2 linked regions of the Stegostoma tigrinum genome follow. The protein of the gene in region 2 binds, or shares a complex with, the protein of the main gene of each other region. Links are inferred from orthologs where the notes say so. Each region holds a gene or a part of one and is shown on either strand. Other genes may lie near its edges.

Evidence for each region.
Region 1: the proteins of sin3b (region 2) and phf12b are in contact, whole or in part, in a cryo-EM structure (PDB 8BPA), measured with the Homo sapiens proteins. The link is inferred for Stegostoma tigrinum from reciprocal best matches to the Homo sapiens genes SIN3B and PHF12. Residues at the interface, in NP_056075.1 of Homo sapiens: Glu307, Phe311, Leu318, Glu322, Val323, Tyr324, Glu325, Asn326, Leu328, Arg329, Cys330, Ile331, Leu333, Phe334, Asn335, Glu343, Leu347, Pro350, Phe351, Lys354, Phe365, Lys395, Arg396, Glu490, Glu493, Leu494, Val497, Tyr545, Arg546, Ile547; in NP_001028733.1 of Homo sapiens: Leu20, Met21, Gln23, Ile24, Gln25, Leu27, Leu28, Pro30, Pro31, Lys32, Thr33, Asn264, Leu266, Val267, Leu269, Val271, Val273, Phe275, Thr276, Asn278, Arg279, Ser280, Arg282, Cys292, Pro293, Leu294, Pro316, Asn317, His318, Ile319.

The regions. Positions count from the first base shown.
Region 1 is NC_081380.1:28,534,066-28,542,263, forward strand, and holds the start of phf12b (PHD finger protein 12), read right to left. Parts: upstream 3,066-8,198; 5' UTR 2,333-3,065; coding exon 2,267-2,332; intron 1,990-2,266; coding exon 1,808-1,989; intron 1-1,807.
Region 2 is NC_081383.1:940,578-948,731, reverse strand, and holds the start of sin3b (paired amphipathic helix protein Sin3b), read left to right. Parts: upstream 1-4,802; 5' UTR 4,803-4,900; intron 4,901-8,154.

The sequences.
Region 1 (8,198 bases), on a different chromosome or scaffold from region 2:
TATTTAGCCTTCAACTGACACCTGAAACATTTCCTGGTTATTCTCACATCTGTTTGTAAAGCTTGACTTGTTACAATTACCACTGTATTTCTTACTCTACTACTGGTCTATTGGCTATAAAGCTAAATTGTCATGAAAGGCATAAAATTAATGCAAGTCCTCTTCATTTACAATAAAGTTTGACCTTCAATTAAAATTGCCCCAAGAATTAAAAGGAATAATTCAAAACATTTAATTAGGTTAATTAAGTGTTTAAAACATCAAAATAAGTGTTAAAGTTCCAAAACTTTAGAATCTGAATAGGCTATACATTTGGACACAATCATTCTCAACGACCTTAACAGCATAATAATGCAACACAAGAATTCCAAAACTCAACATAGCAAAGTGCTCCAAAGACTATGGGGAATAACAGCACTGGACAATCATATAACCACAATACTGATGACAAGATGGAGTTAAAGTACAGCAGACATAAAGGCATTAACAACTACATTTTTCTCCTGGAAGAACTCTAGAAATCTAACAAACCAGTTTATAAAGCAAGATGTCAATGGAAATTTAATAGATTATTCAGATATCAAAGTGATCTAACTTAGAAAGATATTGTCTGACCTAAATTTAAGTTGTCAAGTGCCAGTGTCTTGTAAAGTAGTACTTTTTACTGCTTGATATAGATAAATATTAAAATCTAGTGCGTTTTATTCGGTCAGTGAGATATTTACACTGACCATTCAAGCATTCTCATATTTAAAGTGAAAAGTTTAAATCCTCGATAAGCGCCAAAAAAATTAGAGATAAACTGACATTACAAGACTGAATGGAATAACTTTCATGTAATGCCTTTGTATAATCTTAAATCACAGGGATAACATGACTTTCGTGAGTTTTTTTTAAAAAGAGAATCTTGAAAATGATAAAACAATAAGCGAAAAAGTGTACCAGAGATTTATCAGAACTCCTCCACTTCTTTACAAAATTTCCAAGAGCCTTTCGAACTCAGTTTAAATCGGACACTAACCTCCAGAACCGAGAAGTCAACTAAAATGGCGCTCCGAGTAGAAAATATAATTTAAACGGAGGTCGCCATGTTGCGTATTTGCAAACACATTAAGTGAAGGAAAGGAAGGCATCCGGCTCGGTGCCCAGATGGGTGCTCAGGGACCAGGCCTATTTGTAGGAAACTATCCCTGAGGACAAACAAGGCCATGATGATGAGAAGCGGATAGGTGTGTTTAGTCACTGTGCCCCTATCCTACCCATCTTGCTACCATATACTTTAATGAGACCCTAACTGCAAAGTCAGAAGAGGGGTGCATTGGCAATGAAGATCCGAATGTGGTGACAGCAGAACCTCCTCCAATTAACGGGACAACCACTTGTTTAAGCGTGTATAGCTTCCTTCACCTTTCTAAAGTTCAGGTCCAGCTGCAGGATTCGCTTAGACCTCTCAAACGTGGAGCGGGGGCAGGGGGAGAGAAGAGAGCAGGACAAGGAAATCGTTTAGCCGCAACAACTGCAGTACAGAAAGCAGCCACTAAAACACAACCGAGGTCCACACACCTTGAGGCCAAACCTAGGAAACTACACCTAAAACCACACACCAGCCTGGGAAAGACAGCAGACAAAAAAAAACACACAAAAACCCAAGAAGGTTTAAACCAAAGATAACAAGGTATAGAGCTGGATGAAGCAGGCCGCTCTCTATCAAGAAACCCCCATCCCCAGTATCACAGATCCCCGAGTTAGGTGTCCCCCTCTGTAAGAGGGGCTGGAGGAAAGATCGACGCTTGCATCAAGTACTGACCAGCACTGGAGGTGGAAGGCGGCCGGGCAATGGTCGCAGCAGAGTAGGTCTCCCCCCTCCTTGCAGCTATCGCAAGTGTCGTGGTTGGTGGCCCGGCCGCTCCGCCTCGGCTCCTTCTCCAGCTTCTTGGCCTTCTTGTCGCTCTCCTCGCTCTTCGGAGGGGCCAACAACGCTTGGATTTTCTGCAGCGAAGAGAATAAAAACAGGAAGAGAAGGGAGAAGGGTTGGCGGGGGGGTCGTAAGATTAAACCATTTTCACCATGCAGGCCGAAAAAAGACTAGACCCAAAACGTTTGTTTATTTAACAAAAAAGACGGTTGAGAAAGATAGATGCCATTTGTATTGAGGTTTTTTTAAATAAGCAAAAAGAAATGAATTTTGCTGTTTTTAATCCTAATCCTGGCTGTGGATTTGTTTGGGCGCGATCAGCAGCTGAGAGGAGCAAAGAAAAAGCCTCACCTCCATCAGCCCTCCGGAGGTATCCAAGTCGTAGACAATCGTCTTGGTCTCCATTTTATCCCACATTCAACACGGCCGCTTTTCTTTTCCTTTTTTAAAAAAAAGGTGGCGAGGCAGCAGCAGACAAGTTTCCCCCCCCCCCTTGAGCTGTCACCAACACCCACAAAAAATCCGTAAGGGGGGGGAAAGAGACGAAAATGGGTTTTTGGGGGGTGGAAAAGGGTCGGGGGGGGGTATTCACCCCCCTCAAACCCTGGCTTAGCTTCCCACTTTCTTGGCCAAAACGAAGGCACAGATCGGGACCAGTGTCCGAGAAAAAACAATCAGAATAATAATAATAATAGTAATATTTATAAATCCACAAGAAATCCCGGCTCGCGATTCAACGGGCTCCAGCGACGACAGCAGCAGCAACAACGCAGCCAGGCCTCGACCAGGGCCTAACCGACACGAAGCCTTCCCTGGGCGACAATAATATTCGTGTCGAACCACTTGCTTTCCATCCGTGCGAAGAGACCCCCCCAGAGGCACCACCATGAAGCGGATAAATCCTGAAGCCGGACGGACTGTGGGGAGGGAGGAGAAGGCCACGGCTGCCGGAGGCGATCTGTCACCCGGTTCTCGGTGCTGTCTGAAGGCCGCCAGCACATACACAAACACTCGGAGGCCAGGCTGCTCGCTTTACATTTTTTCTCTCTCTGCCTCCAAGTTGGCGCAAACTTTCCACACACACACACACACACACCACACACGTACTGCGCAAGTGCCTGCTGGTTGATGGGGGGATGGGAGAGGAAGGGGAGGAAAAGAGAAGAAAGGGGCATACGACTGCGCACGCGCCGGGTCTTTCCAAGCAAGTAGCCAACGCGCCTGCGCAACCGGCCGTTGGGGTTTTTTGTTACTCTATCGCTGCGCCTGCGCGAAATGCGCACGCGTGCCCGTCGGAAGGGTGAGGGGCTGAGGCTCGCGGTCATCTCTTGACGTCAGCCCCCGACTCCCCGTCGCGTGATCGCGATCCGGGCAGCGCTCGGCCAATCCGCTTCCACTCCCTTTCTCCCTCCCGCCCTTCTGCCTCTCACCCTAACTTTACAAACCCTCCCCCTCCCCCACAATCCATTCATTGACAAGTCCGCATGCGCAGCCTACCTCCCGCACAACGACCCCCATTTACTGCGCATGTCCTGTGTCAAGACTGCGTTAGGCAGTAACGTGAGGATGCGGCTTCTTGGGAGCAGTAGTGTAAGTTACGAGGGTGCCTTGAATCTCGAGCAGCTTCCAAATCCTACAAACTTGCGAGTTGTTATTTGCACTTATTTGTCCTGTTCTTGACCTTAACTTGGAGTTGCCCTTAAGTTATTTGATTTTGTAGACATGGACGAAGGTGGTTTATGTGTACTCTCATTTCATATTTTATCATGTCAACATATGCTGTGACCTGTGATGAAAAGTGTCAGTAGTTTTGATTTCAGTTTCGTGTAACCTTTCACGAAATTAATCAAAGAGAGCCGTAATTTGAAATTAGACAAGATCATGAACCTTGCATTTTGCAGCCAATTCTGAGTAAAAAGTAACTACATTCACCATGACAACATGTATTTTGTATACAGTCTGTGGGATAGGAAAATGTCCTGAAGTGTTATATTGCACAAGAATTGAAAAAAAATCAGAAATATCAGGACAAAAACTTGGTCAAAAAGCTGACTGTCTACTGAAGTACAGTGAAAAATTTTGTTTACAAGCAGTACAGGCAGATCATAGTAAAGAAGGATTTACTTTGATCTATATGGGTTACATTGCACAGGTCATGTGCTAGGCGAAATCGATGTTTAGCAAGATCAACCTTATTTGAGACAAGAGAGTCCATTTATCAGTCTAATAACGGTCAGGCAAAAGCTGTTCCTGAACCTGATGGTGCGTGTGTTCAGGCTTCAGTATCTTCTGCCTGACAGAAGAGGTTGTAGGAGATCATTGCAGAAGTGCAATAGGTCTTTGCTGATGTTGGCTGCCTTTCCGCAGCAACCATGGAGTTGATGGATGGAAGGTTGGCTTCCATGATGTTTTGGACTGTGCACACAATCTTCTGTAGTTTCTTGTCATCCGAGGCAGAGCTGTTGCCGTACCAGGCCGTTATGCACCCAGACAGTATGCTTTCAATTTTTCATCTGCGGAAGTTGGTGAGCGTCCTTATGGGCATGCCAAATTTCCTGAGATGCCTGAGGAAGAAGAGTCACCTATGTGGGAAGTCCAGGACAGGTTGTCAGTTATCGTTACTTCGAGGAACTTGATGCTCACCACTCTTTCAACTTCAATTCTGTTGTTGTAGATGGGGGTGTGTCTCCTCCTTTCTTTCTGAAGCCAATATTCAGTTCTTTAGTTTTGCTAACACTGAAAAATAGGTTGGTCTCATTTCACCATGTCGCTAAGCCTCTATCTCCCTTCTGTACTTTGACTCATGGTTGTTAGATATCCGTCCTGCTACAGTGGTGTCGTCCATGAATTTGCAGATGACATTTGTTTGGAATTTGGCATCATAGCCATCAGTGTACATGGAGTACAATAGGGGGCTCAGGACACATACTTGTTGGGGGGGGGGGTCTCCAGCGTTGACTGTTATTGCAAAGAATGTACAGTTACCCATCTTCAGCTGTATATATTATGGAAAATCTGGATGAAACAAAATTGTAGAAGTGAGAGAAGGTTTCTCATAGCTTTGGGTCTTGATGCCTGGTTGTGAAGATTTGTGGATATGTAAGAGGCCAGAATTAGAGAAATGCTAATTTGGACGCAGATCTGAATGGGCAGCGGACTGAATCTTGATGGAAGTTTTAAGAATTTTTAAAACTGTGTCCTGTATCAAGATAGCTTGGTTTGTTTTCTTTTGACCTTGATTTTGGCTTTGGCTTTGGCTTTTGTGCAATGAACTTCTCCTATTAAACCCTGTGTACTTGTGTGTCAGTGAATGACCAGCAAATTAATTAAGATGTTAAGAAGTCTATTAAGCCAGGTTTCATTCTATGATCTGATTTGTTGAACAGTACAATCCACTGCAATCATAACATTCATGTGAAAAGCTATGTATTGTTCATGGCAAGAATCTCACCTCATTAAGTCTCATCAGCAGTTTACCTCTAACACCGTAAACTGAACCATGGTAACCTGATCAAGGAAAGAGAATAGTGGCAGAAATCTAACCGTAGCATAAGCTGGTAGTGATTGGCATTGCAGCACATAAATCAGAAAGATTGTGACTGTGAAGGGATTTGAATACAGGGATGAGAAATTTTTAATTTGAAGTGTTGATCATCAATATATAGTAGAGAGTAGAAGGGTAGTAAGTGCATTGGAAATAAGGCCTCTTCTGAAGCAGCAGAGTTTTAAACAAGGTCAAGCTTTTGAAGCGTGCAAAAAGAGTAGGTTACCAGACAGAATCGGAATGGGTGACTGTAGAGGTGACAAAAGCAGGGATAAATTTTCAGCAACAGCTCAATTATTTCTGGTTTTGCGCTGAGAATGGTGGCCTTTAATTTGGAAACAAATATTCAGTTGTGAATTCTGAAATTGAATCTTCCTTGGCCCGTGGCTGCTCAAGTTTTTCCTCCAAGGCCATCTGCAGCTTCCTGCACTGAAACTCAGCATTTTGCAGCAGCTATGCTGTAGCCAGTGGAATATCACTTCAGAGGAGCATCCGGACAGGAAAGAAGATATAGATTTCAGGAACTTTGCAAATATGCAGGCTGATTAGTTCAATTGTATATGCAATCTAAGTATTGATAGCATTTGGTACCATATCAGACTTTTAACCTGAGGGTCTCTCTGCGCGTATTAACATTTTGTTCTTTCCTAATCTCATGTCAGTGATGTCCAGTTTCCCACCGACCGGATAGAAACTAGATGGTGAGTTTTCCTGACATGAAAGTCAGAGTTGTTGCCTGGCAACTCTAGATCGCCACATATTCTTCTGGTCCTCTATCTTGGACAACATCCGAGGGAATATTTCATGGCAGAAAACATAGGGGGACTCCTGGTTAGACAAGCCTGGTGACATTTGTGGCGAGAGGGCACAGACATTCTAGATGTGTTCAGCACAGAAGTTGGTGCACCTTCCTCGGTTTGAACTCCCGTAGGGGTGAGGATGGTAGTCAGTGTTGATATAGAAGGTGCAGCCAGCTCTAGGGTCATTTTAGAGTAGACTTCTGGGGAGCCTATATGTAGCTCCTCCTCTGGCTAGATTTGTACTAGTTGGGGCCTCTCACTTGTGAGAAAGGGGCACTTGGACTTACCGTAAGGTCCCTTGTTCCTCTGTGGCATTGCTGTTGGTACTGGTTAGATTGATGGAGTATAGGCCTGTGCATAAATCTAGCTGGTGGTCTGTATGCTAGACTTGGGTCTCCATGACAATTGTCCATAGAGGCAGACAGACACTTCTGTGCCAAAGAAAGCACAGTACAAACAGCCTTGGTGGAATCCTCCAACCTTTGAGTTAGTTTGTCTCGTGCCTTCAACAAACCTGCTGGCTGCTTCTGTGTCTATTTGTGCATTTCGGTGAAGTTGTGATTTGTTGACCCTGTTGGGTCCCCTCCTACCAGAACCTGAGCAGGTGCCTGTTCTCCGGTAGTCATCAAAGTACCAGCAACTTTAGAGTAGTTCTTCCTTGGTCAACTGTGGAGATGTGGTAGTACTGTGCTTACCAACATGTCCTGCTGACTTTAATCCAGCTAAAATACCCGCTGATGTGTTAGAATCTGGGTTGGGAGAGGATGCAGTAGGCAGCCTAGCTAGTGCATCCTCTGAGGGAAACCATGACTACTTTCTCGAAGGTCAAGTAGATATCTTGTGGGGCCACCCTCTTGACAGTGGAAACCGTGCATGTTTCAATGGTGCTGACAGGAGACAAAAGACAACTTGTATCACAAGAAATGAGTTGATATTTTCACGCAGTAAAAATCCTTCTGTGCAAGCATGAATGCTGCTTTCTTCACTGAAGCTTTCCTTGTTTTGCTTTGCAAGATATTTCAGCCAGGAAGACATTGTGCTGCATGTGCTATGCTACAGTATTTCATCTTTTACATTGGCTTTTCTAGGCAAGAATTGTCCTCAGAGACCGAACTTTGGCTTCAATGTTGATTCCTATGGGAAACCGCACTTTACATAATGCTGGTTTTTGGGTAGGCCATTTAAGACGGAGACGAGGAGACATTTCTTCACCCAAAGAGTGGTGAGCCTGTTGAATTCATTACCACATGAAATAGTTGATGCCACAATGTTGAATGTATTCTAGAGGTGACCAGATATAGTATTTTGGGGTGATTGGGATCAAAGGTTATAGGGAGAAAGCAGGATCAGACTATTGTGTCGGGTGATTAGCCGTGGTTGTGATGAATGATCGAACAGGCTCGAAGGGATAGATCCCCTGCTCCTGTCTCCAATGTTTCAGTGCTTCTTTATTTCACTTAAAGTCATGATGTTCAGGAATGCAACTCTGACTTTAAGTGAGGATACCCTATATGCCCCTAAATCTCCTCCCTCACTTCCATCACAGGCCCCAAAAAACCCTTCCACATCAGACAGATATTCACCGGCACGTCCACTAATGTGGTCTATTGTATCCGCTGTTCCTGATGTGGCCTCCTCTACGTCGGTGAGACTAACCAGAGGCTGAGAGACCGCTTTGTAGAGCACCTACGCTCGGTTCATGACAAACAACAACACCTTCCAGTCATGAGCCACTTCAAATCCCCCCTCCCACTCTTGGACGACATGTCCATCCTTGGTCTCCTCCAGTGTGACAACAACGCTACCCAGAAACTGGAGGAGCAACACCTCTGTTAGGTTCGTTTTTCAGAGACCCTCACGGACTTGATGCAAGAGCAAGACATTGACCTGGTTACAAGAATACAATTCTTTATTATTAAGCAGAGGATCACTGTATGCA
Region 2 (8,154 bases):
GAGCTTCCTTCTTGAATCAATGTGACATGCACAAGCCTGTTAGTTCCAGGATTTGCAGCCAGTGAGGCTGAAGGAACAGTGATATATTTCTGCGGTCTGGTTGAGTGGTTTGGAGGGGATCTTACCATATTCCCAATTATCTGCTGCCCTTGATGGTGGTGATTGTGTGGAAGGTCCTGTTGGATGAGTTACTGTGATGTATCTTGTAGATAGCATACACTGCTGCCACTGTGCGTTAGTGGTGAATGGAGTGAACATTGAAGGTGGTAGATTGCCAGTCAAGTGGGACCTGCTTTGTCCTGGATGGTATTGAGCTTTGAGTGTTGTTAAGCTGCACCCATCCATCAAGTGGGGAGCATTCCACCGCACTCCTGCCTTGTGCCTTGCAGATGGTGGACCTGCTTTGGGGAGTCAGGGCATGAGTTACACTTTATAGGTTGCTTAACCTCTTATGCTTTCTGAAAGTCACTAGTTTAAATAGCTAACCTAGTTCAGTTTCTGGTCAAAGGTAACCCTCAGGCTGTTGATAGTAGCATCAGTGATGGTAACATCATTGAATGTCAAGGGGTGATTGTTAGATTACCTTTTTATTGGAGAAGATCTTTCTGTGGCACTATGCCAGGATATTGTCGAGGCCTGTTTCTGAATTTGAAGAGTTGTGACTGCTGCTGGACATTGTGGAAACATCCCCCACTCCTGACCTTCCTTCCGATGGACGGAGGGTCATTGAAGCAGCTGAAGATGGCTGAGCCTATGACACTACCCTGAGGAACTCTGCAGAGATATTCTGGAGCTGAGATGTCTGACCTCTAGCCACAGCCATCTTCCAAGTATGACTTCAACCAGCAAAAAGATTTTCCCCAGTTCCTATTAATTATACTTTTGCTTAGAGCTTCTTGATGTCACATTCAAACAATCAGTGTGGGAGGCAAGCGAGGAAATTGTAGGAGCATTGATGTCAATTTTAAAAGTTTAGATACAGGAGAGGTGCTGGGGATTGGTAAATAACTGCCATGGTAGGGATAGGCCAGTGAGTCTGACATCAGTTGGGAGAAATTTCTGAGGATAGAATTCTATCTCCATTTGGATGGGGAAAGAATTAATCAGGCATATCGTGGCTTTGTCAGAGGGGAAATTGTCAAATTTGATTGATTCAGCTTGTCACCTCTTGAAAAAAATTTCAATGTAGTGCATTGGATATACTCTAAATAGCAGACTGGGCATAAAAGTAAAAGTCCATTGAATCCAGGCCAATTTTAGCAAATTAGATTCAAAATATTGGTTCAGTGACAGGAAACAGAAGATGACGGTAAAAGTCTCTTGTGACTGAAAGCCTGGGTTCCTTGCTGTTCCTCGTCTACTTGTGTGAATCCTAGATTATTCATGTCCTTATCATTGATTGTACGTTTTACCAGTAAGTTTACACTACACTAAAGTTTAATGATGTGGTAAATAGCAAAGAGGAGAGCCTCTGGTTATAGGACAGTAGTCAGATGGGCGGGACAATGGCAAATAGAATTTAATTCTGAAAATTTGAAGGACTTATAAAGTAAAGGAGTATATGATGAATGGTAGGACCCAAGGAATTATGGAATCCGGGGATTCAGCCACAAAACGACATGACCCACTATCACTCGTATCCTTATATACAGATGAGGAAGGACACCACTTTGATTGGGACAACACATCCATCCTAGGACAAGCCAAACAGAGACATGCACGAGAATTCCTAGAAGCATGGCATTCCAACCGGAACTCCATCAACAAACACATTGGCTTGGAGCCAATCTACCACCCTCTGAGAAAAAGAACAGGAAATTACATCACCAACGCAGGAAATGACATCACCAACCCAAGGAAACCTAAACCGATAAATAGAAAGCGGGACATAACACCAGCGCTTCACTGGAGGCTCACTGATGAGGTTACCTAGAATGGTGACAAAACGTCTGAAAACGAACTTTCCAGCTCAGCGAGCAAACTTACATCCAGAATCAGGGGGACCATAAATGATTGGAGGCAACAGGACAAGTGAATAGTGGTTAAAAGGCTTTTGGGATACTTGCCTTTTATTTTTCAAGGCATAGGGTATAAAAATGAGGAAGTTAAGATGGAGCTATATACAACTGTAGGCCATAGCTGGAATAGTGTGTGCAGTTCTGGCTTGATCGTAATGGTTGAATGGGTGATACGAGTGCTAGGAGGTTGCAGATTGTGCTAGAGTACAATGCTGCTGCTGATGGCCTCCATGGATGACCAGTCTTGAGTTGTTAGATCTGTTGAAGTCATTTAGTCTGGTTATAGTGCCATACAACATGATAGAGAGTGAGGGTGGGACTTCATGCCCACAAGAACTGTGCAGTGGTCACTCTTACTGATGCTGTCATGGGCCAGTGCATCTGCAACCAGCAGCTTGGTCAGGATGAGGTCAAGTCTGTTAGTCTGTTTTTCTTTTTTGATTCCCTCACCACCTGCTGCAGGCCCAGTCTAGCAGCTATGTCCTATAGGACCTGACCAGCCCGATCAGGCTTACTGCTGCTGAGCCACTGTTCATGGTGGGCATTGAAATCCCCCACCCAGAGTACATTTTGGGCACTTGCCATACTCAGTGTTTCCTCTAGGTGTTAACCACCAACATGGAGGAGTACTGATTCATTAGCTTAGGGAGAATGATACATGGTAATCGGCAGGAGGTTTCCTTGCCCATGTTTAACCTGATGCCCTGAGACTTCGGTCTGTCCAGAGTCCATGCTGAGCACTTCCAGGGTGACTCCCTTTCAACTATATACCACTGCTTCCCCCTCTCCTGGCAGGACAGGACATATCCAAGGGACAAGACTCTGTTGGGTTCATAAGGAAGCGTTTTACTTTGTTTCTAGTGCCTTGGTTGGTGGAGGCTGGTCTTTCCAGTTATATTCCTTTATTTAGATACACAACAGCGTCTTCCCAGGCCCTTTCAGAGGACAGGTAGGAGTCAGCCACTTTGCTGTGGGTCTGGAGTTGTGTGGGCAAGACCACTTAAGATCCTTCTCTAAAGGACATTCATCAACCAGGTGGGTTTTTACATCAATCAACAATGGTTGCATGGTCACCATTAGGCCAGCTTTTATTTCAAATTTTATTGAATTCATATTTCACCATTCACCCTGGTGGGATTTGAACCCCTGTTCCCCAGTTTAATGGATTAATCCAGTAAATCAGCTGCCACACCACAGCTTCTCATTGGCATATGGATTATACTCAGTGTGTGTCACTCACTCACTCACTCACTCACTCCTTTCAATGAGATCCTGGTTGGTTTGGCCCATGTTATTTAATTCTTAACTAACTTTTTTGTTAAGCATAAGATTTAAAAGTAACAACTGATCCAGCAGCAAGTGACATTTGTGAAAGTGAGTTCCAAACCCCTCCTACCCTTTGTGTGTAGAAGTACTTCCTAATGTCTCTTCTTAATGGTCTATGCCCCTACTTCTCAAATCTTAGTCAATAGAAATAGTTTATCTTTACCTACCCTGTCTTTTTCTGTTAACATAGTGAAGACTTTGATCAGGCCTTACATGGTATAGTCTGTCATCATAATACAACTCCTGAAGTCCAAGATAACAAAGTGTGAAGCTGGATGAACACAGCAGGCCAAGCAGCATCTCAGGAGCAGTCCAGATATCATTCTTTTAACAGTGACTTCCCAGGATGGGACACTGTACAGGAATCAGAAGCATGTGTTCCTACTTCAGACCGGCTGTAATACTCCTTGCGTGGCCCAGCCTTACCTGCTACAGAGTTGAATTCACACCCAGGTTTAATCTCAGTGAACATTCTACTGGGGTGTTATGGGATTGTAACAGATTTAGTACGGCCAACAGCAGCTCAGGGAATTAAACATAAACTTTGCTTTTTTAAAATTACACCAATTTGATTTTTTTAAAAAAATCTGACATGGTTGCTCAGAGTTGTGTGCTGATTCCTAGTATCACAAAGTAGATAACCATTCAGCCCACTCATATAAGAGGTTTTGCTAACCTGAGTGAGATGACCAGAAGTAGATTTCTGATGTTGCCACCACAATGTCAGCGGTTTCCTGATAAATGGGAATCCGGGGTGACCAGAACAAATCCGTTCATCCACATCACCTCCTGACAGTCCCTTTCCTGAATTCATGAGGCAGCTTCACTCCCTCTGCTTGGGGGCGGTTACAGGAGATAATGTCCCCGCTCAGATCCATCACCAAATGAATATTAATGTGAGAAAGTTTTGCCTTAAAGGGTTTCTGTGGACGTTCTCCCCCGGGACAGTCAGGCTCAGGAAGGCTGGAGTGAGACCTGGAGCATTCTGAGGGATTACTTCATCAAACATCTTCCACATCCGCTTTAAACTGGGAATGGTTTGGTGTTTGTTGGAAGAATCATGAAACACGACAGCACTGGGCATTCAGCCCGCCCAGTGTGGGCTAGCTCTGAGGCAGAGTTACCCCCATCTTCCTAATTTCTTGTTTTTGGTTCATATCTTCATTTAATTTTGTTCCTGAAGCCGCTTTGGAAGTTATTAAATCTGTTAAATTGTTTTTTCTAACCATCTTCAACTGTTTCATCAAACACCTCCCCCTGCAATGCAATATTTACAGCATCGGCCTGCGTTTGGTTCTGAAGCCGGTGGAGGGAAGGGCTAAGCCCGGCTCCTGGTGCACACCCCCAGCATTGAGGGCGCGCGGTCTCGGCCCGGAACCTTCGGGCAGCGTCCAAAGCGGCTGCCCCGGACCTTCTCTGGGAGGCACCGTGGTCTGATTGGTTACGGGCTGGCACAGTCCCAGGGATGGGTTTCACGGACGGACCGGAAACGGGGTGCCGCTGGGGGCGCGGAGCCGGAACCGAGAGGAAGCGCGGAGCCCGGGCTGGAGCCGCGGGTGAGTGGGGTTGGGGGGGGGGGACATGGTGGGGGAATGAGGGGCAGCTTGATATGACGATCAACGATCTCCCCCCCATCCTCCGCCCCCCATCCCCCGCCCCCCATCCTCCGCCCCCCCATCGATCCCCCCCATCCTCCTCCCCCCTCCCTCCATCCCCCCATCCCCTATCCCCACCCACCCCCCCCACCCATCCTCCCCCTCCCCTTCACCTTTCTCCATCTCTCCCCCCACCCTCCCATCTACACCCCTCCATCTCCGATCCCCCCATCTCCTCCCCCCACACCCCACACCCCCTCCCCCCACACCCCCACCCTCGCATCTCCTCCCCCCCCCCACACCCCCACCCTCGCATCTCCTCCCCCCCCCCACACCCCCACCCTCGCATCTCCTCCCCCCCCCCACACCCCCACCCTCGCATCTCCTCCCCCCCCCACACCCCCACCCTCGCATCTCCTGCCCCCCCACACCCCCCACCCTCGCATCTCCCACTGCCCACCCATCTCCTCCCCTTCATGTCAGGGTCCTTCTTACTCATTTGATTCATGTTATTTAAGAAACTGCTGGATTAAATTTCCTTCGCGGGATAATGAGAAAGTTATATTTGTTGGATTGCAGTGAAAAATTTGTTTGCATCATCACAAGCACTAAATCTCCATTGAGTGCAAAGGAACATAATGTATTTCTGTTTGTATTAAAAGGTAGTAGTTGGCAATATTTTGAACTATGCATCAGAAAATTATTAGCTGTCAGAAATATACAGTCTTAGTATTTACCAAGTCTTTTATCAGTGTCTATTCTGATTGTTCATCAAGGAGAATAAATTTTAAGCCCAACAGTCCACACCAGTCAGCTTCTCAGTAAGTGTAATATATTTTGAAATGAAGATATTTGAAATGTATCAACTATGACTAAATAACCAAGTTTGGAGATCTGTTTCTGAGGTGCGTTTGTTAAGATCTGACCATTTCACCCAATGGGTGGGCCAATTTTTGTTGGTGGAGTCTCATCTGGATGAATTTCATTTTAAGTTATGAAAAAAGCTTGTGGTACATATGAATGTATGTGAATTTGCTGTAATTTGCTATGATTTGATTTCCCTGTTTTTTTTGTGCTTGTTGTTAGTGGAGTCCACCTGGTGTCCAGTGATGAATCTCCTGGAGACTTTGCCTGTGTCTGACACTGTGCCTTCAATTTGGTTTCAAATATGATTTTTGAGAATGTTTTTTCAGAAATGTTTCTTGTTTGACAGATGAAGTTAATTTTTTATACAATTTGATGGCTTCCATGCAAATCATTGATGATCTATCTATTTATTAAATTTCACAGTGGCCTGTTTGATCTCCCAGTTATGATGTGGGTGAATGATGCTGTGCTGGGATTTGAACTCTGGATCCCAGAAAGTTATCCGGGTCTCTAGATTAACAGTACAGTGATAATACCATTGGGCCATCACATTCCCTTGTGGCCTCGATTCTACTTTACACAAACCTTAACATCCTGATCAAACAAAAATCAAACTCAACCTTGAATAGATTGAATCAGCCAGGCTCCACTCTTTGTGGATGAGAGAATTCAAAAATGTAATGACCCAGTATAACATAACTGGAAAATGCCTTACTTTGAAACTCTGTTCCCACATTTTCCCCCGTAGACTCCCTACTGTGTGGAAGCAGGCCATTCGACCTATCGACTTCACCAACATGCCAAACAACATCCCTCTCAGTCCCACCGCCACCAATACCTTTGTAACCCTGCATTTTCCCATTGGCTAATCCACCTAACCTACATATCTTTTGACTCTGGGAGGAAAATGGAGCACCTGGAGAAAACTCACCCAGACACAGGGAGAACATGCAAACTCCACACAGGCTGTTGGCTGAGGGTGGTGTTAAACCCAAGTCCCTGGTGCTGTGAGGCCACAGTGCTCACCACTGTGCCACTCTCAAGAGGAAATATTGTCTCAGTATTTACCCTGTGAGGCTGCCTCTCTTACGTTGCATCTGGTTAGCATATTTGAAGTCAAGCCTTGCTATTCCTGGAATTGTCATAAATGTTACAGACTTTGAAAGTAAGCAGAATTATCCGATCTACATGACTAATTGACTCAGGTCTGCAGAAAGCACAGGACCAGGTTCCTGTGCTTAACAAGAATTACTTTATTTGGGTTGGATTGAAGTGTTTTTCCCAGGGACGGGGAATTGAAAACTAGAGGGTATAGGTTTAAGGTGAGAGGGAAAAGAGTTAGGAAGGTCCTGAGGGGCAACCTCTTCTCGCAGAGAGTGGTGCGAATATGGAAGACAACATTTGGATAGGTACTTGGATGGGAAGGGTTTAGCGGGATAGGGACCAAATGTGGGCAATTGGGACTGAGTGGGCACCATGGACCAGTTTGGGCAGAAGGGGCTGTTTCCATGCTGTATTACTCCACTACTCTACTCTACTCCATAAGTAATTACTTTGCTTTATTACTTTATTAGGGGATGCAAAGGCATATGGTATTACTGCTAGAGTATTAATCAAGAAACTTGGCAATGATCTGTGAACCAAGGTTTGTATCCTGTCATGGTAGATGGTGGAATTTGAATTGAATTAAAAATCTGGAATTAAGGGTCTAATGATGACCATTAATCCATTCTCGATTGTCAGGAAAAACCCTCTGGTTTGCTAATGCCCTTCGGGAATGGAATGTGCTGTCCTTACCTGGTCTGGCCTACACGTGACTCCAGACCCACAGCAATGTGGTTGACTCTTAACTGCCCTCTGGGCAATTAGGGATGGGCAGTAAATGCTGGCGAGTGATGTCCACATCCTGTGAGTGAATAAAAAACAATTACAAATTAACAGACTGTAGGTGCAGGTAAACAGTTGTGAGCAGTCAGCATGTGACTCTTCTAGTTAAAACTTTAACCCCTTTATAAACTCCCCCTTAGACCCACCTGGGAAAAAACATGGGTTTTAAGGATGCAGGGAAACAGGGAAAGGAATCTGGAGAAGAATGATCTAGAAGCAACATTCTGATCGGCTAAGAATGATTATTGTGCTGATCAGAATGTTGCTTTTGGATCATTCTTCTCCAGATGCTTCCACTGGTTTACAGGAGGACAGGGTGACAGGTTCATACGTGAAAAAGGTCCTGATACATTAATTAAACATCACCACTTGGAGCAATTTCTGAAGGAAAGATAATATGGCTTTCCTCAAGCTTACAGTGGCTTCTTCAGCGTGCACAGAGAAGTCTTGAGTTATTGGAG